3 linked regions of the Lytechinus pictus genome follow. Each later gene encodes a partner of the first gene's protein in a complex. Links are inferred from orthologs where the notes say so. Each region holds a gene or a part of one and is shown in the gene's direction. Other genes may lie near its edges.

The links. The genes of interacting proteins can lie anywhere in the genome.
Region 2: inhibitor of growth protein 4-like (region 1) and chromatin modification-related protein MEAF6-like share a complex: the UniProt entries of both Drosophila melanogaster proteins name them as parts of the enok complex. The link is inferred for Lytechinus pictus from reciprocal best matches to the Drosophila melanogaster genes Ing5 and Eaf6.
Region 3: inhibitor of growth protein 4-like (region 1) and peregrin-like share a complex: the UniProt entries of both Drosophila melanogaster proteins name them as parts of the enok complex. The link is inferred for Lytechinus pictus from reciprocal best matches to the Drosophila melanogaster genes Ing5 and Br140.

What each region holds. Positions count from the first base shown.
Region 1 is NC_087258.1:4,765,627-4,773,003, reverse strand, and holds the start of inhibitor of growth protein 4-like, read left to right. Parts: upstream 1-4,329; 5' UTR 4,330-4,412; coding exon 4,413-4,449; intron 4,450-6,349; coding exon 6,350-6,421; intron 6,422-6,900; coding exon 6,901-7,067; intron 7,068-7,377. Other genes in the region: beta-mannosidase-like, read left to right, coding at 1-92, 1,037-1,237, 1,724-1,954. UniProt on the Drosophila melanogaster protein: Component of the Enok complex which has a histone H3 acetyltransferase activity.
Region 2 is NC_087246.1:18,104,600-18,111,945, reverse strand, and holds the start of chromatin modification-related protein MEAF6-like, read left to right. Parts: upstream 1-4,150; 5' UTR 4,151-4,301; coding exon 4,302-4,382; intron 4,383-5,290; coding exon 5,291-5,403; intron 5,404-6,162; coding exon 6,163-6,247; intron 6,248-7,147; coding exon 7,148-7,184; intron 7,185-7,346. UniProt on the Drosophila melanogaster protein: Component of the Enok complex which has a histone H3 acetyltransferase activity. Might be involved in transcriptional activation of selected genes.
Region 3 is NC_087247.1:47,609,778-47,617,977, forward strand, and holds the start of peregrin-like, read left to right. Parts: upstream 1-5,004; 5' UTR 5,005-5,438; intron 5,439-8,200. UniProt on the Drosophila melanogaster protein: Scaffold subunit of the histone acetyltransferase (HAT) Enok complex which has histone H3 acetyltransferase activity.

The sequences.
Region 1 (7,377 bases):
CAGACAACCTTGTCGATGCTAGCTTCGTCACCTCCATCTGGTCTTGGACAGATCTGAAACCAAAGTATCAAGTTACCAATCAGTTTTCTCAGGTAAGTCCTTTGAAATTGGACATTCAATCATTTATTTCAGTCATCATAAAAATAAAAGGAGAATTAGCATAGACAATCAGAGGTAAGAAAACAAGAAAATACAATTACATAAAACGATTTTATGGGAATTGGAGACAACAAAAAAGAGAAAGAAGCCTAATAAAACACTGACTCCTGTATACAGACTCAAAGCAAGTACATTGTATATATTACAAAATAAACACATTTAACCGACAAACAGAGGGGGAGGGGGAGAAATTACTTTACTAATGTTGAGATTATATGAAGAATATATTTTCAGTAAAATTTTCATTATAGCAAAAAATTACTCTGAATTACGGTTTCCTTTTGTCTTTTCTGGGATTCACTGTATATCATATCTCTATCATGAGTTGGGACAAATCAATATTGTTCAAAATATCAATATTTTATACACTAGTAGATGAGTACTCTACAGGAACTAATTGTTATTATATGACACCAAGATAGATCCTTGTCATATGATTGGTTGTTTGATATCGATAATTCAACCCATTTTACATTGACATCATCAACTGTTTAATTTTGGATCCATACAATTTTGTCCATTCCACGCGCGCACCACCGAGACTGCAGGCACCACAAGTAAAACCACTCCTGTTTGCAGTGCACATGTTGTATGTACGTGATAATCAACAGACTGAGCTCCCATTGCATGACCATAGTTTGCATCGAGATTCATAAATTCTATATGAAAAAGAATCTATTTTTAGGTGTCATATAAACAAATAATTAATGTTTATGAGTGCAATAGACAGAAAACTTCATTCGGTGAAAGATGAAATGAATGATCCATTCAACTCGGCTACACCTCGTTGAATAGATCATTTCATCTTTCACCTCCTGAAATATTCTATCCATTGCATTCATAAATATTAATTATCATTTCATTTCATCTTTTCCAGAATGCACTATCATCTAAGATGGTCCTCAGAATACCCCTCGATGACCTCCTTCAGAAAGCAGCGTGTGGTTCAAACCCTCTTCCCACTTGCTTTGTAACCATGGTGATATACCATAACAACTCCACCCAACTCTCACCAATCAATCCTCTCTTTCTGTCATCCTTCAGTGATGTGATTGGACTAAAGAAACCAGTTATAAGAGTAAGTCATCTGTCTTGTTTTGGTAAATTACCAATTTTTTTCCTACTTTTTGTTTGGTCTCATCTCCATTGTCTAATCCTAGTCTCCGATCAGGTTGTCTAACAAAAAGAGAAAGAAAGGAAAACCATATTCTATATATACTATGATCATATGAATTGCCTCCAAATTTCGTTATTTCATTCATTGGTAACGGATATTTAAAAGAAAATGATCATTAAAAATCTGTTAATTGGCAACCTGATGTAAAATTTCAAAATCACTGTCTCTCCTTGCCAACCTGCACGTTTCCTACTTCAAAACATGATAACCTTTATGAAAGAATGTCAAGTACTTCAGGTATATATATTTCCTTTCTAGTGCAATGATGAAAGAAGAATTCTGGTGTTGCCAACTTGAGAAATGAAATGTGTTCACCTCCAAGTATGTTCTTTTCACTAATGGTTTGACTCTTTTTCTTCTCCTTTTTTTGTAATTGTCCCTATGTAGATCTCTTCTGTCAGCAAAGTTTTAACAGATGAGTTCCTCATTACCCTCAAAACCAGCAGCATTGCTCCATTCACTTGGCTGGACAGCGGTGGTCTTAGAGGGCGCTTCTCACAAAATGGCTTCCTAATGATGACGCCCTCGATATCGGTGACTTTCTTTGCATGGGAGTCAATGTCTACCGAAGAACTTGCCAACTCACTCACAGTTTCATCTTTAATGGACTTGTATTGAAGAATGATTTTGGATTGAAACTGGTTTAAAGCTTTTGACAGTCTTGTCACACATTGCATTGTAGGAGTTTTTAGAGATAAACAAAGCCTGTTACAAATCGCAATCCATGCCTTGCAGTGCAATTTTTTAATACTTTTTCTGAAGTAAAATCCACTTTGTGCAATCTTTACTCTGATCAATGGATGTATGGGTTGGAAATGATTATAACTATGTTATAAAAGTAATGAATTCCACCTTCAGAATTCAACCCTTTAGACTTATTTGTTTTCAAACTAAAGTAGAATTTTTACACCATTTAAAATGATGTTATTGTTAATGGTGTGTAAATTGAAATCTGAATTAAAAAGATTAAGAAGTAATGATGTTAAATATCTTAGCACTAATAAGTTTACTTGTACAGATGTCCAGGCTCAAATCCCTCAAATATTGTTGGGATGAATTTTGTAGCATTTTGATAGAAGATGATGATATTATTAAGCATGTGTAATCGCAGTATTCTTTCATCTAATGTAATTGTATGTTTATTGTTATGCAAGTATTGTTTATTGTTGCCTACTCCTGGTCAAATGCTTCCAAACAATATTTGGCAACTATTTTGTTTAGTCATTAATCTGTGGATCAAGTATTATTGTTTGAGACGGGGAAGCCACTAGAATTATGTTTCTAGTATTTTATCTGTTTTTAGTCTGCTTTCATAATGAGTTCAGACAGAAGAGAAACTTTGATAAAGCATTATTTACCATCATTTTATCATCATAAAATTTGATAAAATTCTATAATTATTTGTTGTTTATTTGCTTTATCGTGGAAATTTCAAAATTGACCCCTTCAGCATGTGCTGCTGGTCAACATATGTGAATGTATATATACTGAAATATAATAACGCATGACTATTTTTGGTATATTTCACTATTTCAGATCTTTTTATTAATCTCTTTTTTTTCATACATGTGTATAAAACGATCTTCCTTGTTACAAAATTGATTACAGCAATGGTGTTGGCAGTCTAAGTTTTTACACCATTGAAACATAAAATGCGAATCATTGTAATTTCATATGATAAACCAAAAAAAAGATATTGAGAAAAGACATCTGCTTTCTTATTACATATTCATAATGGCATGCATAGAAATAAAAACCTTTAATAACTTTGTAATTACTCATCTATCATAATGAAATGCTCATATTTCCATTAATTTCCATTGGAAAATTTCTTATTTTTAAATTCAAATTTAGATTTGAATTATCTTGAATTGTATTTTTTAAACAGTACTAAGTTGCCTGATGTGACTTAATAAATTAATATGCAGATTGATAGCATTGTGTGTTTTACCCTACTGATTTTAAGTAAATATTATAGCACTTCCTTTTTTGGTCCTACGTTTTATTAAAAATGGTATAACCCTTTTTGACTTGGAGCCACCGTTTGCGCTTGTCAGATAAATTCTAAAAGATCCAGTTTCAAAATTAACAAACTTAAAGTTTCTCTTCTTTTTTCAAAATCTATGCTTTTAGTAATTTGATTGATTGATTTTAAACATATAAAAATAAATTACACAGGGCAGCCCAAAGGCTTAATATAAATCTCATGAGTTTAAGAAATAGAAATGAAGTCAGCTACAGCTACATTTGTAGTAATCACAATAAAAAGGGAAAACATTCAATGCATAATTCATATAAGGACAAAGTACACCTTAAGAGAATAAATGAGAGGTTGAATAATGATTGGCAGAGGGAGATAGAGAGAGAGAGAGAGCAAGAAAGAAGAGAGAAAAAAGGAGGAAAAGATAGAGATGGTATATATGCATTGAGACAGCTGCTAGAAGGAATGTAGTTGAGACAAAGTTGTGAGTACGCGAGAAGGAAAGTATGAAGAGAGAAAGAAAGTGTACAGACCTGGTAGATCAGAGAGAAAAGTGAAACCATACATAATATTCAAGGTATAAGAAATATCTTGCGTTAAAAAATCACTTGAAGTAAAGCCTATGTATTTTTTTAAAAAGATGCTATAATAATCATATTACTATAATCGTATTCTTGTTTTTATTCTTATTCCTATTCTTCTGTTTCCGCCTCCTCTTATATATAGCTCCTCATCCTGATTGAATTATCTTAACTTTGGAACTTTTACCAACTTTATGTTTTCGTCCTCGTTCCTAAACTGAAAATCTTCATTGAATGTCAGTGAATTATCTCTGTTACATTAATCAATTATTAAAAATAACTTGAAAACAAAATGAAAGGAAATACGAACAGCTCTGTAGATATATACCTCCCGTGTATATTTCTATCGACAACCCGGAAGTATCCTGAGACCTCGATTTATTGCAATTATGCACGTGACGTTTTGAACAAGCCGCCAATCCGAAAACACAATGTTAATCAGTCACGTGACACCGGCATCGAAATAAACTCGACTCCGACATGATTTTATTACGCGGGAACTCATTTGACAACCATGGCTACAGCACTTTATCTCGAACAGTACCTCGACAGTAAGTGGAAAATTTCGCCTTTTGTAGGATTTGACGGAATTTGATGTGTGAATGGTTTGATACTTTAGAATTTTCTTATATGGCGTGGTTGAATTGTTTGTATGTCCATTGAAGAGAAGTGTGATTTTATTGGTCTCAAATGTGCCTCATTATGTATTCAAGAAGGTGGTTCGCATTCCTTTAGACGAGTGTACGGTGCCCGTGTATACTGCACAATGTTTGTATACGAACTGTGCTGAATGAATGAGTCATGGAGCGATATGGGCGCCGTGTGTTCAAGTTGTGTGTGCGGCTATTGCCTATGCACTGATGCTGTGTGGAGCGATGGGGCCCCTGGCTGAAGCTGACTTGGCCTTGCAGAATCATGATTGTGTGTTACGGAGCTGTAGCCCTCGTTCATCGGGGAGTTGCCCCGTGTGAATACGACTACGAGTGCCTGCTGGACTATTGCTGCTTAGCCTTAGGCTTTAGCATTGCAGCATTAAAAGAAAAATGAATTCATAAACACGATGAACGTATAATTCAAATTCAAAGAGCAAAGCTGAAGCAAATCCAGACGTCAGATTCAGACAATATTGATTGATTTTCATGATTTTTCTTTTTATTTAAAAATTAATGAAAAAATGAAATTAATTTTTAAAAATGTCCTCTTATTCGGGGGAGGGTTTGTTGCCCTATAATTTTCTCACATTCCAGGGGCTGCAGAACATTTTTGAAGGGGGGGGGGCACCGGGGCTGACCATGCAAAAAATCACAATTGAATCTAGAACTTAGAGTTAGACTGGGTGGTAATTTTTACGTTTTTGGAAAAAAAAGTGTGGGGGGGCTGAGGGGCTTCAGTCCCCCCCCCCCCCCCCCCGGCATGTGGCCCTGCATTCCTTAGCCTTTTTTTCAGATCTGTCAACTTAAATTTGAAAAAATAAAGAGTCTGCAAGGGCAAATTTTAAAGAGGGGCACACAAAGAAAATTAAAATTTTGTAGATTTTATTTCAAAATTTTTTTCAAGCATGTTTATAAGGCAATTCTTGTTAGTTTCACTTTCAACAGGGCGAGAAGAAAAAAAAAGCAGTCCCCAAAACCTGACTTTACTTATCCAGACTAAGCTTATATGCTATCAAAACGGGGTGCCAGTCGAAAAATGAGGATCATCTTTGATTCTATGGTCATCTTCGTTTCTGGGGATTTCTCCACCCAATAAATCTAGGAAAGTTTGTTCACTTTTCAATACCCTAATTGAGTGTGCTAGTCAAAGTAAACCTTGGTTTTCATAACAAGTTCCTGGGGAAAATTGCAAGAATTGAAAAAGAGATCAAACTATTGGGGTATTTTGCGATACCAGGAAAATTATTCCCTGAAAACATGTGTCATGGCTGCAATTAAGTGAAATTTCAAGCATCTTTGTAAGAACATTGTGGTAAGAAACTGGCCAAAGTTTACCAAAAATATACAACTTTGATATAGCCTAATCTGAGCCATCTTTAATTGTACAAACCAACAATTTTTACTTGTGTACCAAATTTGTTTTTCAAAAGCAAAGAAATAAATATATTTAAAAAAAGTGCTCACCAAGTAGCTAACCCTTGCTGTTCACAACACGTTTTGTCTTCATTTAAAGCATTGGTGTGTTATCCCAAACACCAAATTGCTTATGGTGGCTTGATTGGAACTACATTTAGGAGTGGTTTCAAACTAGATTGGCAGTTATTGTCTAATAGAGAAAGAGGCAGGTCGCATGAACCAAAAATGCCTCCACCTTATTCGTATCCATTTCAACTATCAATAATACCCTTTAAGTGGCTCTAAGTTATTGTATTTCTTGAAGTTGTGCCATGTGACTTGAATTTAACAGTAAACCGTAATACCGTATATATCACAATTTATTTGTTTTTTTTTCTTCCAGGTATTGAAAATCTTCCTTTTGAGCTTCAAAGGAACTTCACACTGATGAGAGATTTGGACCAGAGAACACAAGGTATTAAAGAAGGAAGCTTAATTACATCCAAATGTGCCCCCCCCCCCCCCGTATCATAAAACTGGGTGACTAATCATGATGATTTCTACGATTGTTGTATTTGTGTAATATGATCAAACTTAAGAGCCAGACCCACATTCAATTGCTAAGCTTTATGTAAGAGAGTCAGGGTTATGAAGATTCAGAAATGTATGGAATCACTGGCAGAGAAATTCATCATAAAGCATCCGTGAAGAAGTAATGATCTTTGTGTTTAGCATCTATAGGCAATTGTTGGATTTGGAAAGTATAGAAGTCCATGTGCATAATAATACTGATAATCAATGATATTGATAATTTGATTGAGATGAGATAAAAACCAACAAAGATCTGGAATTTCTAAGTTGGTATTCTTTGCAAAATGGCATGCATTGAGTTTGTGATGATGTCACAAGCCCATTTGTGTGATATGCCTCTTTATGTGCTCAATTTTTCTCCAGAACTTGCCAAGAGTATAGACGAGGATACGGTGAACTACTTGAAGAATGTCAGGGATCTGAAGCCAGAACAGAGAGCTGAGAGATTAAAGAAGATAAATCACTCTTTCACAAAAAGTAGGGAATATGGCGACGACAAAGTACAGCTTGCTATGCAGACATATGAAATGGTGAGAGAATAGCTTCTTGCATTAATTAAGTTCACTTGATTCATACCAAGACATAAGAGAAAACTAACTTTATTAAATAAGAAAGTTATGACATTTTAAAATTTTGCTAAATTTCACAAAATATGCACATCCTGGTCTGTATGCAAATGAGCAGACTGATGACATCATCCACTCACTGTTTTGTATTTCATTATATGAAATATTCTAATCTTATTGTCAAGTGAAACAGTAATTCCTTCCTGAACATGTGGAATTAGAATTGATTTATACCATATGGTTCAGTCAGGTTGATCCTTATTGTCAAATCTGT
Region 2 (7,346 bases), on another chromosome or scaffold:
CTATTTCTTTTGTATTTTATTATGATCTATGAAATATTATGATTTTCTCCACATTGTCAAGTGAAAAAATGATTAATTCCTCCCTGAATATGTGGAATTAGCATTGTTTAATACAATATGGTTAAGTCAACTTTGTCCTCATTGTCAAATATGTAAAAAATGAAATATTGTATAATTCAAACAATAAAAAACAAAAGAAATAGTGAGTGATGGACATCATCGACTCTGTCATTAATTTTGCATGTCACTGAGTTGTGCATATCACTGTTTTGTGAAAAAAAGTGAAACTTTAAAATACCATAACTTTCTTATTTTACATCCGATTTTGATGAAATTTTCAGTGTTATGCTAATTGGATTTTTCTCTACTTATTCAAATCAAAATTTTTCTGGAGTGGATTTGTCCTTTAATAAGCCAGTTCGTAGTTCCTTTCTGCGCATGATCAAAAGATTCTACGCATGATCGATCAGAGGAAGGTCATTTGTACTAAAGTGACATGGTGGTTTAAAATCTAATGAGATAAGCACCAACTTTGATGTCTTTATTATTCATGTATTCTTTTGAATTGTGCATGGTTTTCATTTACATCCACAAAAAACAACAACGCGTCCACGAACGACTGGTTTTCACAGTTTGCCAAGTACATTGTGCAACATGCTATGCATTCAAAGTAGGAATGCAACAAATACCTTCATAAAGTGTTCATTGGTGTGCTATTCTAGTCATTCAATTTCTTCATCCTGCTATGTAAGGCAAGCTTACGTAATATTTTGCTTTGAAATCTGCCTATCATAATGAAAGAAATGAAAGGTCATTTGACCGAAAATTGCCCATGAGTAACTACGAACTGGTCTATTAGCCAAGGTTGGTACATGTATATTAAAGGTCTAAAATGCATAGATTTGACCAAACTATTCGCCTTCGTTTGGGAGTTGTTATATATAAGTAGAATTGTAAGAGCAATTACATTCATTTATTTAGTTATTTTCTCTTCAAGGATATTCATAGCATAATAATTTATTTATTTATTTATTCAGTTTTATTTAAAAACAGGATAGTCCTTTCAGAGCCCAAAGGCCTGCTTTACAAAAGAGCCCTGTAGACATAGAAAGATTTACAAAATAAATGAAATACAATTAATATAAAGTAAAATACAATACACTATCAAAATTACATGACATATCAATGATATCACATTAAATGAATCAAAACAAAAATTAAAAACCTAGATTAAAATCAAGACAGTTTAAAAGACGAACAAAATCATAGAAATAAAGGAAATTTCTTTAAAAACGTGTGACTAAAATTAAACTAAGTAAAATGTATAAATAAGTTATAAAATTGACAATTAAAAACACTTTGAAAATTATTGATATAAAATGGCATAAAGCAGGTAGCATACAAGGACAAATAAAAGAACAAAAGGTAAAATGAATCAAACAAAAAAATACATAAAGTATCACAAATACATAAAACCAACAAGAAAAAAAAACGTCACGATAACATTAAAATTATTAATAACATCAAAATTATTCATGATTAAGAATATTCCAGAATGTCCCAGTAAAGCTTTGTTAGGCATGCTATTTAATGAGATAGAGTAATCTTGTTATTTCTGGAATATATTAAGATAGACAAGACTTCTATAGTGGCAGTGAAAAGGACAATAGGATTAGCTATGTTGTTTACATTGTTAATTTCACTGAGGTCATTCAAGAGTCTTCTAGAAGTGTTTGGACTATTCTAGAAAGAAGGATAATGTTCTTTTTAAAGACAATACGAGAAGCTTCCAGAATAGTGAATGTTTATAAAGGCTGGCAGTTTCTTTAAGGACATCATCACATCAGATCAGAACTCAGAGTTTCACACCAGCCTTAATTATGTCAGAGCATAGTTTATTTCCAACTGGAATACCACATTTAGCCATATCAATGAACTGTTTGCAGTTACTTTGAGAGGGGAATTCTCAGTTCTCATCGAGATCATCAACCTGATTTAATGAATGCTTTTCAACCCATGGATTGATGAAATCGACTGTTTGTCATCATCAACTTCATCTTCACGGACATTGCAACTCGTTGCAGTTTGTGAATCTTGTTATTCATCGTGTTTCAACATCAATTTCATCATCGCCATCATTGTGAACTTTCATTTAAGGAATCTTGACCAACCAACTTGGATTTTATCTGGATTCAATACGGGACTATCATAACTCTGGATTATAATCAGAACTGACACTTCAAGAGATGTAAGATCAGTTTGTTTTGTTTAGTGTATCTTTTTCCTGTAATAAATTTTCCTTGTTATTTATAGTATCGTAACAGAGTATATAGGCCTACCCCCGAGTACACCCCCCGCCATTTCTTTCTTCCTTCCTTCCTTCCTTCCCTTCCTTCTTTCTCTCTTTTCTATCTTTCTCTTTTTTTGCTTGTCACCTAGCAGACCAAAGTCACCTGGGGGGGGGGGGGCGTGCTTGTTAACACTTTACTAGAACCCACTCTTTAAAATTCTATACCCCTGCAATCCAACGCTCTAAAAAAATATTGCGTAAAAGTGCTTCATAGTGAGGTTTTATGTGCCCAACCAACATTGGGCATTTCTTTTGGGCATTTATCAAGTGTGATGAAAATTTTGCCAATTCTAAAGTAATTGCTGCTCATTTTTTAACTTTACATAATATGCTTTCCGCATTGGGTAACTGCCCCAAATTGGTTGGACACATAATTACCCGGTCCATGGTGGTAAAAAAATTACCCAATATTTTTTGCAGTGAAACTATGCTTAATTGCACCGTGGTCCTCTTGATCTATATCAATCAAGGCCGGGATGGAGGGGGTGGTAAGGGCCCCTCCCATCAGGGCCCTCCCGTTGCTTTCATAATCAAAAAATCAATATATCAATAATCAAGGTTAAAAATCTTCAAGGATGCGTCAAACGTATAACGATAATGGAACATGGGCGAGAGGAAAGCAGACCAAATGGAAATTAAAATCAATCAAAATCATGTAGACCACTGGTGGATCCAGGGGGGGGGGGCATATCCGGCCGGTCCCCCCTTTTTGTTTAAAGAACTTAAATTTGGGGTGAATACCTTTTTTTTTTGCTTGGCAAATTTTTCTCCGGAAGATGTGCCCCCGCCCTTGGAAAATCCTAGATCCGCCTCTGATGTAGACCGTACAGTCCGGGAGCCAACGGCATCTGCCTAGTGTTGACAAGGTTACCAATCTTCATCTTCATAGCAATTATGTATGTATGGATTGATTGATTGATTGATTGATTGATTGACTGATTGATTTTATTTGTCAAGAATATCACAGGTAATATGAGATACAATGAATTATAAGAATCCCGTGACACGAAAGCCGCCTTATTTCCAATGGGGTCCTATTGATAGTAAACAGTAATATATTGTAACAACAAAATGTATAAACCACAAGTACTGGAACATGGCGGTAAGGATATATCCATCGATCAAATAATTTGCAAAAACCTGAAGAACAATAATCTACCTTATATGAAACAAGGTTATATTTTAACATATATCCTATATAGGCCTATTATTTATACTAGAAACCAACTGTACAATTAAGGACCCCCCAAAAAATAAAAATAAAAGAATACTTTGATTTTTTTTCCAGAACCATTTCGTGTGTTAAGTCTTTAGTATGAAAACCCCTTTTTTAGCAGAATTTTTCTGTGTGGTAGGCCTATAACCTTGAACTGATTGCAAGGCTCCGTAACACAAAGCTTAGCGATGAATGGCAAATATGAAAGAATTCTTTCATATGATGAAAGAATACTTTTATATCCTGGTCAGTATCGGAACCAAATGCGTGTGTAACATTGATCTTGATTGGTCAGTCCATTTAGCGATTGATCGCTAATCTTTGCTATGTGTCTTGTCTGATAATCTATACCTCACAACAAATAAAGTCTCTTTCACTTTTTGAAAAAATTGCTAGGTCTCTTTATCATTCCTGACCGAGGCAAAAGTTATTGATAATATTATTTGAGAGTGATTTGACTAATTATCTACTATCAATAAGCACTCGATTCTTCATTTATTAGAGTTTGATATGCTTCTTCTTGTCTTGTCCCATTTGAAACCTGCGCATTATACCCTTTTTAAACCCGTCTTCTAAAAAAGCTCATTTTTCTCTATCAGATCATCAGAGTAGCTCGTTTTTCCATCATTGTGTTGCTTCCCTCTACGTTCGTTATTATTATATTCGCGTATAAATTGATTGATTGATGATGATCGGACTTTGCCCAGATGCGGAATTTTTAAGGTCGAGAGAAAAATGTCGTCCAAAAGTGCGCAGCAGGCGTCAGATACGAGAACAGAATTAGCGGAATTGGTGAAGAGAAGATCAGAAATAGCTGTAAGTATCATGACATCCTATACCGTTAAGTAAAATACGGTAATTAGATGTCAGATTAATGAGTTTCGACAGATTGCCGTACGGAAAAGTGCGAACATCTGGCCCTGCGCTGCTTGACCGACGGTATACCGGCACATGCGAAGTTTACGCGAACATATCTAATGGGATTTTCACAATAATGTGATATTTTTACTTAAAATGCACAAAGCTAATTCCCGTCCCCGTATAGATCTACATCATTGAATCAAATAATATATTTACGCAGTACAATTGTCAAATGTTGAATACATTGGTGTTTTTTTGAATAAATTTATTGATTTAATCATATCATTATGATCAGATGAGAGATAATCAAACACAGTCAATCAATGACAATGTTTCTTAAATGACAAACGTCCACTACACTACAGCCTACAGGATGAATACCAGGCCTGGTGAATCACAAATAGTGTATTTACAAAGAATAACGATGTACACATTTTGCCAAGATCAGCTTTCTTTTTTTATGATATCGGCTTTTGATCGCACCCCTCGGCCCTCTTCGCATGTGAAATATGTTTGTCACTTGAAAATGGTATTACCGACTCTGTGTTTTCTGTGGGAAAAGTTTGAAACTTCACAAAATCACCTAGTTCAACCATATTTTGTTATTTTGAGAATAAATGAAGTGTGTTTTTGGCTTTTATAATTTTGTTCATCATTTTTTCTAGTTGAATTCCCTGGCTTTGGAAGGATGTTGCAAAGTTTTGAGAATATATGGAAATTATTTTCTGATGCGTAAATTCATGTGTTCGGTAATTACAAGGCCAATCCGTAAAACAATCACTCACTTTACTGACTTTAACTTCAATGAAAGGGGTAGGTATTGTCTTTAAAAAAAAAAATTAACTTGAATATCCTATGTACAGGAGACACTTGCAAATCTTGAAAGACAAATCTATGCATTTGAAGGCAGCTACCTGGAAGACACAGCTTTGTATGGCAACATTATAAGAGGATGGGACAGATATCTAACAAATAAGTAAGTAGGAAATAGGAATATTGTTTGTTGTTTACATATGTATTTGGTTATCACTTGGATGAATGGTTTTTCAGATATGGGTGATTTTAGGGCCGAGTCGAAGTGGGCAATTTCTTCCAGACCGATGGACTGCTAAAATAAAAAATATAAGAAATTTAGTGTCACCAAAGACTGAGAATAGCAACCATTTTCAGGCCTTCATCTAGATTTATACCGTATATCGAAAATTACACATGATACTATATATCTAAACAATAAATCAACCCAGTAACGCTATGAAAATAGTAGCACTGAGCAGGATTTCTCAATTTTCTTGCTTGAATTCATCGGCACGAAACCTTATAATCCCTGTGGCATGGATGCATCCATTTTGTTCTGTTTGCAATTTCTAGCAGGGGGCACAAGTGCTACTCCACAGCAATTTTCAGCACCGGGTAACTAAGAGTTGCAAACAAACAAAACAACAGAACAAAATAGCTCATTAGCATCTCTCTTTTTTTTTTGGTTAAAATTTTTCATTAATCTCTAAATGCAAGTGTATTCAGGTTTACAGTTGAGTTTCTGCGCATATCGTTTCTGGTACGCCTCAGAATGTATTGTTTTTACTCAGCAATATGTTACCAATTCAGTAAGTATTTGGTCTTGAATTCAAGAAAAGATTCAATTCTTACAATTAATGTTGGTTTAATGATGATTGAAATATAAGAGATAATATATGAAATATAAGAGAATATGCGAGTAACATTTTATTATTTGCAGGAGTACCAATAGTAAGACAGACAAACGAAACAGAAAGTTCAAGGAAGCTGACAGACTGTTTTCTAAATCAAGTATTACATCTCAAGTAAGTGTTCTAGGGGAAACCAGTCTTTAACAAATATTGAAAGAAACCGGGCCAGGAATGGGAAAGTAATGGCTGTTTAAAACTTTGAAATATGAGATTACTAAGACTACATTAATTTCAAATTGGCAATTCTGTGTGTTGTGTTAAAATGTCATACTGAGTCAAACTTGAAAAAATACATTTTAGTCATCACAGTGACATCACTTTTCTAGCCATTTTGTAGTCTAGGTGTAGAGATTTCAACTTTTTACATAGATCTTTTAAAAATTCATAAATGAAGGGTGAAATTCCATGATATATGCATATTTAATACTTTGTCAACCAAAATGGAAATGACATATATTCATGTTTGATTTATATTTCAACATGAGACTGAGATGTAGGGTAAAGGGCAATTGCTTTAATTGCCTTAATACACAATATGTCATTTTTTCAATAGTTTTCTTAGTATAATAGTTTTATGTCATAGGCAGATGTTCATACTATATTTGATTACTGCCCTGAGTAAAAAAAAAAAATGTTCGTAGAAGAAACAAGTATTAGTACATGGCAAATTTGTTTAAATTGGTTTAGAAATGAGCTATATACAAATATTGAGTCTTGTAAATTGGTCTCGTACAAAAATAAAGGACTGATGATATTTCCATTCAGGCAAATAAGCCTGTGATCAATGTGGGCATTCTTTACAGAAAGTTCTTGACAGATATCATTGGAGTGTTGCATATACTGTGACCTTTGATGTGTGAAATTTGATTTATTGTACTAAAAATTCATCAGATTATAGGAAGTGGAATTTCAATTGATGTCTTGCATATGTTTTCATGGTATATAGTTAATATGAACCCACTTTTAATGAGCTTTCACCAATAATAGCTACCACTAATCTTTATTTTTCAACAGGCATCTCTTGGTCTCACAGATTCACAGAATGAAAGGAGTAAGTACCATGGAAATAACCATTGTGATAATTCAAAACTAAAGACTATCCAGGGAAAGTGATTTGAATTAAAAACTAAGAACCATTTCAACAAGAATGAAATTAAAACAGACAATTGTCAATAGAATAATGCTATTTTCAATCAGATTGTTATTGACACGC
Region 3 (8,200 bases), on another chromosome or scaffold:
GCTAATTTTTGGAAATTTTATGTATTTTTTCCTAAAATTTGAACATTCTGGGCAATGTTTGTTATGAAAAAGATGTGTATGCAACTTTACTACGAACGCAAAGCGCGAGCAGAAATGAACTGATGGAAAAGATACCTGTTAAAGTAGCATTTAACAATCAAATAATGCGAGCACGAACGGCGAGCTAAATTTTTTTTGACATTTTGACCTAAAGAATGGAAATTGTAAGCACTTTTTGTAACTCAAGCAGAATAGGTATACAAGTAAACAATTGATGAGAGCGCGAAGCGCGAGCGGAAAATTTCGAGATTTAGTCCTATAATATTTACTGAACGAGACACTCTATTCATGTTTTGTAAATCATGAAAAGGATGAGTATTAATAATGCGAGCTCAAAACGCGAGCAGAAAATTTTTTAATTCGTTTTGAACTGGTAATTGTTAAAAAGGTAACTGTTAAGGACTGCTTGCACTTAGCCATGAAGGCGTTACATATTTCAACAATCAAAAAATGAGAGCGCGAAGAAAGAAAGAATGGAAAATTTCAATCAGTTTTTGTAATCGTGAACAGGATAGAGCTATATAATTAAATAATTGATGCGAGCGCGAAGCGCGAGCAGAAAAAATAAATCGAGATTTAGACCTAAAAAATGGGCCACTCTGTTCATGTTTTGTAAATCATGAAAAGGATGAGTAATATGGGGTCTTCCTACATTAATAATGCGAGCACAAAGCGCGAGCAGAAAATTTTTGATATTGTGATCTGAAACTGGATAATGATTTAAATAGAGAACAAGTTGAGTATCTGAATAAACATAGGCATTCTAAATACATCTTTAATCATGAAAATCAGGAAACTTTGATATTCTGATCTGACAAGAGTCAATTTCAGCTTTATATTTCAAGCACTTTGTAGAAAAATTGTATAAGGTGGATATGGATCGCACTTAAAAAAGAGTTGATATTTTCATTATTTTTACTCTGAGTTTTGACATAGGACCGGGACATCCATACGACATGTCATCATATGAAAATGATGATTATCTTCCTATTCCTCTTGCTAAGCGAGATGAAACAAAAGGGACACTTTGATTATTAAATTAATATCATATCTATTAATGCCTAATGAGGGCGCAAAATCTGATGATATTATGGCATAAAAACTGGACATTTCACTTTTGTAATTATGAATAAGATGCATCAGTTAATATATTTTCAACCATTAATGCGAACGCAAATCGCGAGCTAAAATTTTTGATAAACTGTCATGAAAAGGGGATTTTAAGTAGTTTGTTGTATAATCAATATTGAAACATATATAATTCGCCAATCAAAATGCGAGCGTAGTGCAGCGCGCTAGCTGATACGTCTTAACAATCAGACCTGAAAAGGGATATTTTGAAAATTTTATGAAATATACGAAAATAATAGGTACCTGATAAATCAAATTTTGCGAGCGCGCAGCGCAAGCAGCATTGTTAATATTCAGACGATAAAACTGACAATTTTACAGAGCACTTTAAAAAAATCAATTTGTAAATCACACAAAATAATGAAAGTTCGATTTCCGAGGTGAAATATGTTTTGTATATTGACTTCCAAACTTGACATTCGAGCTCCATATTGAACAAGATATGTAAATCAACTAACAGGCAATGCGAGCGCGAAGCGCGAGCGAAAATTTTATATAGTGGCACGAAAGATTATTTTTATTTTCCAAGTCTTCCCCTCATCTTATTTTATGCACTCGTCGTCCTTCTCTTCTATTTTTCCTCTCTTTTCCCTCCTTTATTCCTTCCTTCTTTCCCTTTTCCTTTTTTTTTGATCCGCCAAGAAGAGGGGGGGGGGCGGGCCCCTCACCCCCCCTGGTCCGCCTAAGGGGCGGAAAAATTTGACAAGCAAAAAAAAAGGTTATCATCCCAAAAGTAAGGTCATCTCGTCCCATACTCGTCCCCAAATACATGTTTTATTTCGATTTAGAATGATGTATTTCTTACCATCATAAAAGACCAAAAATAGTAGGGGGGACATTTGATATTGTGTCCCCCCTACTATTTTGAGTAGGGGGGACACGTCCCCCCTGTCCCCCCTGGGATTTCCGCCCATGGGGTGAAGGATGGGTTATTTCTCTGTAGTCGCTCGTATACCGTATGTTTGAGACATATTTAGAAAATGATATTATATTTCACTTTCTCTCTTCCATTTTCAAGCGCCCCCAATCCCCCATCATAATGCCACTGATTATCGTGGTCAGGCAGAACACGTTGATTTGGGATCGTTCGGGCCGATAGGCAGTGACGTGTGGGGTAATAGCAACGTTTTTTAATTAATAAAAACGTATTCCTGGTTGAAACACTTACACTTGCGGCTTTACAGAGGTATTGTTACATTCGCTTAATTTAGTTTAATGTGGACTTATTGGCAAAAATCGAACGATATTCAAAGCCTGCAGTATACCCCTTTTCAATGGTGTTTATTTTCTTTCCATACCTGTGCTCACTGGATCTCAGCGTGTATTCGTTTTAATACAGAATATTAAGACAGGGGTGGATCCAGCTTTCGCCAATGGGGGGGGGGGGGGGGGGCGAATTTTTTCACTCAATTCCCTGATCGGCCGCCCAAATTGATTTTGAAGGGTTAGTCCTAACAGTCAACAGCTTTATTAATTAAAAACAACAATAATCTCATAAGCCCTATTTAAATAGTGCGAGCGCGAAGCGCGAGCTAAGATTTTTGCAAATTTCATGCATTTTCCCCTGAAAATTGAACATTCTGGGTAATGTTTGTGATCCTGACCATTTGCGTATATGTAAACTATATAATACTGCTAGCGCGAAGAAAACTTTCTGCTCGCGCTTCGGGAGCAGAAAGTTTTAATATACTGTACATTCAGCCTGATCGAAAGGGGACCAGTTAAGGACTGTTTGCAGTTAGCCATGAAGACAAGAAATATTTCAACAATAAAAAAATGCGAGGGCGAAGCGTAAGCTGATTTTTTTATTATGTTCTGACCTACAATTGGAACTGTAAGCACTTTTTTATAATCATGAACAGGATAGGTATATTTAACTACACGATTGATGCGAGCGTGAAGCGCGAGCGGAAAAAAAAGAGATTTAGACATAAAAACGGGACACTTTATTCATGCTTTGTAAATATTGAAAACTGGTGGGCAATTGGGTATTTTCCTATGGCCAACATACATGTACATAATGCGAGCGCGAAGAGCGAGCAGAAAGTTTTTGATATTCTGATCTGAAACTTGATACCATGTTTTAAATAAAGAACAAGTAGCGTATCTCAATAAACATGCGTGCCCGTGTTCTACATTATAGACCTAGAATCTGCATGGGCATTCTAAATACATTATTTATCATGAAAATCAATAATGCGAGCGCGAAGCAAGAGCTGAAAACATTTAATATTCCGATTTGAATAAGGGTCAATTTAATCACTATTTCAAGAACGGTGTATGAAAATTGTGAAGTGGATATGGATTGCACTTAATAAATGATGTGAGCGCGAAGTGCGAGCTGATATTTTTTCATTATTATGAAACTTTTCCATTCTGAAAAAGACACTTAATTATATAGGAGTTAATAAAAATATTATTATCTTATTCATGAATCTAATAAGCATAATGAGAGCGCGAAATTTGTTGATAATAAGGCCTGAAAAGTGGACATTTTAAACACTTTTGTAATTATGAATAGGATGCATGGGTAAAAATATATTTCCATCAATTAATGCAAGCGCAAAATCACGAGCCGAAATTATTTATTGATAAGCTAGCTGTCATGAAAAGGTGATTTTAAGAAGTTTGTTATAGAATTATAAAGATATACATAACTCAATCAAAAGAGCGCGCAGCGCTAGCTAATACGTTTTGACAATCAGACCTGAAAAGGGATATTGCTTTATGGAATCGAAGAGGATATGTACTTGACAAATCAAATAATGCGAGCGCGCAGCGCGAGCTGAAAATGTTAATATTCAGACCGTATAAACCGACATTTTACAAAGCACTTTTTTCAAATTAATTTGTAAATCAAACAAAATAATGAAAGTTTGATGTCCGAGTTGAAATATGTTTTTATATATTGACTTCAAACTTTATATTTTAAGCCCTATATCAGCCCATTTAGCAAGATTTGTATCTTCGATCAGGCAATGCGAGTGCGAAGCGAGAGCGAAAATTTTTTAAAGTGACAATGAAGATTTTCCAAGTCTTCCCCTCATCTTATTTCATTCACTGGTCTTCCTCCTCTTATTTTCTTTTCCCCTCTCTTTTACCCCCTTTATATACCCTTTCCCCCCTTTTTTTTTCTTTCTCCTTTTTTTTTTCCCCTGGTATTTGATTATACAAAAATTCACCTATACTGTAATACGCATATACATAGAATGCTATTTTTATCTCTCGCTGTGGTTGCCTTCGTTCACATAAATCTGCAGACAATCTTAAAATAGATGTGTAGCAATGTAGCATAGTTTCGAAAGCAAACAAATGCAATTAGTGAGATGACCGAAAAATATCTAGGCCTTCTGGAAGACAATCATGAATATAAGACAAATATAGACTAGGTCTACACCCCCGTCTCTTCATAGATTGATTAATTGATAATGATCAATTATTACTAATAAAACAATTTTCATCAGAAAAGTATTTTTATATGCCATAACAAAATGTGGTTTATTTGCTCGCTCACAAATATATCATTTATTTTCATTAAAACTTCATTCCCACTAGGTCATGGTGAATAAATGGTCTATTTAGTGTGCACGAGGGGAATGGGTTAGAGAGTTCACAACATGCAGAATAATTTTCGGCACCAGCGATAATGAATTGTGAGCAAATTAAGGACAAACATCGCTATTTACACCCTCTATCTAAACATCCTCACAACTCTCCGGTCAAAATCTTTTGAAAAAAAAAAAAACATTTCCACATTTTCTCGAATTCCAACTAAAGATGGCGTTAGAGCATAGCGTAATTTTTGAAAAGCTAGGGGGGCGCTTTTCGTACCTTCGAAAAGATGTCTGAAAATGAGCGGAGGGTAGCCCGTCGAGTGCGTATCAGGACAGTACAATCGTCAAAATTTGGCTTCGAATATCTCGTTAAATGCGTAACTTTTTGCACCATTGTCTTCTGGAATATATCAAGCAGAGTCTGGACTATCATACTGTGAATTTTCATGACGCGCTTTGGACGAATTCATGGTTTAAATTAAGCAAGGCATTGTTCGTGCGTCTTTGTTCGGACAGATATTTTCGAAAAGCCTTGCTATGTGCTGTATGTATGAGAGCACAAGTGATTTGAGCTAAGCTGTGTGTTCAACGGGACATAACCGTGTCTTCTCCGCTCCCCGCCTACAACACTGCATATAGCATGGAGCGTGCGTACAACTGGCTCAGCTCAGCAGCCGATTGCAGCTAGAACAGGTCGGTAATGTGATAAGTTAGCTTTCGATTTGTACCTTGCTCAGTCCGGATTTAGCTTTTTTTTTTTACCCCAACATACGTCATTTAAATACTTTGGGGGAAATTTTAGTCATGAAAGTGCTATGAAATTCTATTTTAAAGAGGTGGGCCCATTTTTACAGGGCGTGCACAATTTTTTTTCGAGTTCGTCACGTTGGGCATGAGCATGAATATTCATGAGTCACTAAAACATTTGAACGAGCGCGGCTAGCTTGCTAGAAAGATCTCTATCAAGCCGGATATGTCTCCTTTGTTATGTACTTGTATTTTGTAGTTCAGTATGCTATCTTTCTTGTGTCTTGGAAGTTGGAACTTTGGAAGGTCCAATGAAATTGTATTTTCAAATAAAGCAAAGGAAACTATTTTGTAGAGATTTTTACTCGCACTATTCATCTGGGCACTTGACAAGCACAACGAGTACGATAATATGCCAAGGCCATAGGAAGAAGAACTATGCTTGTTGAGAGAATGAATGTGTAACTGTAAAATGTGACGTGTGTCTGTCAATACTTTTGCATTTTTTAAAATATGAAATGAAGACTGAAAATGAAGTTGATATTCTTCTGTCTAACTTTGACTTGAGTTTGATTGAGTCTTATTTTAATCATTATTTTAAAATACAAGTTTGTGAAAAGGGTAGAATCTACAGTCTTAGATCCAAGTCTATTTATGGTGGTCAAAACTACTGTACATGTACCTGTACTACCTGTAGCCACTTCCTTGATCACTGCAACCACTCTGCCTTAGCTGTTACTAGTGTTAGCTGTGGGGAATTGGAAACTACATACAGAGACCTACATGTATGCAGTAGACCTCTACAAACACATTAAAAAAAAATCATTAAAATATCACTTTTGAAACCAATGATACTGATTTCAATACAGTTGCAATTTATTTTTTATTAGTAACTTCGGGATTATTTTTGTATTCACCAGAGCGCTCAAAAACTTGAATTTTGGGCATATTTTTGTGTAGGCCCTCTATTGGTGGAAAGTAAAATTGCAAGAAAATTGTCATTCAACAATCTATTTTTAATTTAGAAAAAATAATAATTGAAATCATTTAAGTTGCCTAAGAGCCAAGTTATATGGTGAATAGATCTAGTTGTAATGGAGGAAACTGACAATAAAATCAAGCATTTGTCCCAAAGAAGAAGAGAAAATTACGCCAAACATTGCCAACGTTATTTCCCCCACCCAGTGACTACATGTATCATAACCTTGTTCATTAGATGAGTGCCTGTAGCCTACTTCTTAAAGTTCATGTCTACCCAAAGTGTAATACTGTGTTTTAGGGGCCTGCCAATGATGATCACTTTTTCCATTTTATAATGTGGTACTTTTTATGGTAGTGATTTCATGATACAAAATCAGATTAAAGAAAAAAAAAAGGAATTGATATTTCATATTAATTAATTATTTACATGTAGAGTACAAACTTAAAAAATAGTGCATTGCATATGGTCGCATGTCATAAGGTGGTCCAATTTCGCGAACAGGGTAAAAATGGTCCAAAAAATTATTTTTTGGATGTTACAGGTATTACCATTCTTAGTGAAAAAGTGTTAAGTCTCAAATACCTTTTTTTTTCTTAAAATGACTAATTAACAACTAATTATTACATAGACCTCAATGTAACAGGGCCCTGTCCACGTAGGATTATATTATTGTTACTGGGGGTGCTGAGCATTGTCACAGCACCACCAGTAACAATAGATAATCCTCTGTGGAAAGGGTTTATGCAATGTAAATATGAATTTTGAAATGTGTTTGGTGTCAAAAGTTAATGCAACATTGGATCACCCTAGTATTTAGCAGTATTAATCTTGTAACATCAATAATTAAATCTGTAACAAAAAATGAATAATTATCTGTTATTGTATGCATATTAAAGGTCAAGTCCACCACAGGAAAATGTTTTTATTTTATTAGAATAAATAGAGAAAAGTCAAACTACATGTACTGTAGCATAACACTGACAATTTCATCAAAATCGGATGTAAAATAACAAAGCTATGACATTTTTAAGTTTCGCTTATTAAAAAAAAACACCCATGCATAACTCAGTGACATGCAAATGAGACAGTTGATGATGTCCCTCACTCACTATTTGTTTGGTTTTTTTTATTGTTTGAATTATACAATATTTTTTTTTTTTTTTAATGTGACAATATGGACCAACTTGACTAAACCATACAGTATTAAACAATGCTAATTCCATATGTTCAGGGAGGAATTATTGTTGTTTCACTTGACAATGAGGAGGAAATTAGAATATTTCATATAATAAAATACTAAAGAAATAGTGAGTGGATGACGTCATCAGTCTCCTCATTTGCATACCAAACAGGATGTGCATATAACTGTTTTGTGAAATTAAGCGAAACTTTAAAATGTCATAACTTTTTTGTTTCACATCCGATTTTGATGAAATTTTCAGTTTTATGCTTGTTGGATTTTTCTCTTTTTATTCAAATCAACTTTTGTTGGGGTGGACTTGTCCTTTAATTACACTAATTAACAATATTCAATTTCACATTTTTGCCCCCAAAATGCCTGTCGCTGTTTATAAGCTTGGCAAAATGACTACATCATGAATAGAAATGTTTGTTGCAATGATATACAACATTTGTACGAAAAAATAAGATTACAAATGAGATAATTCTCCAGTTTACTAATTGATTGGGTTGGAGATCATTGCTGACATACTCATGTATTTCATTC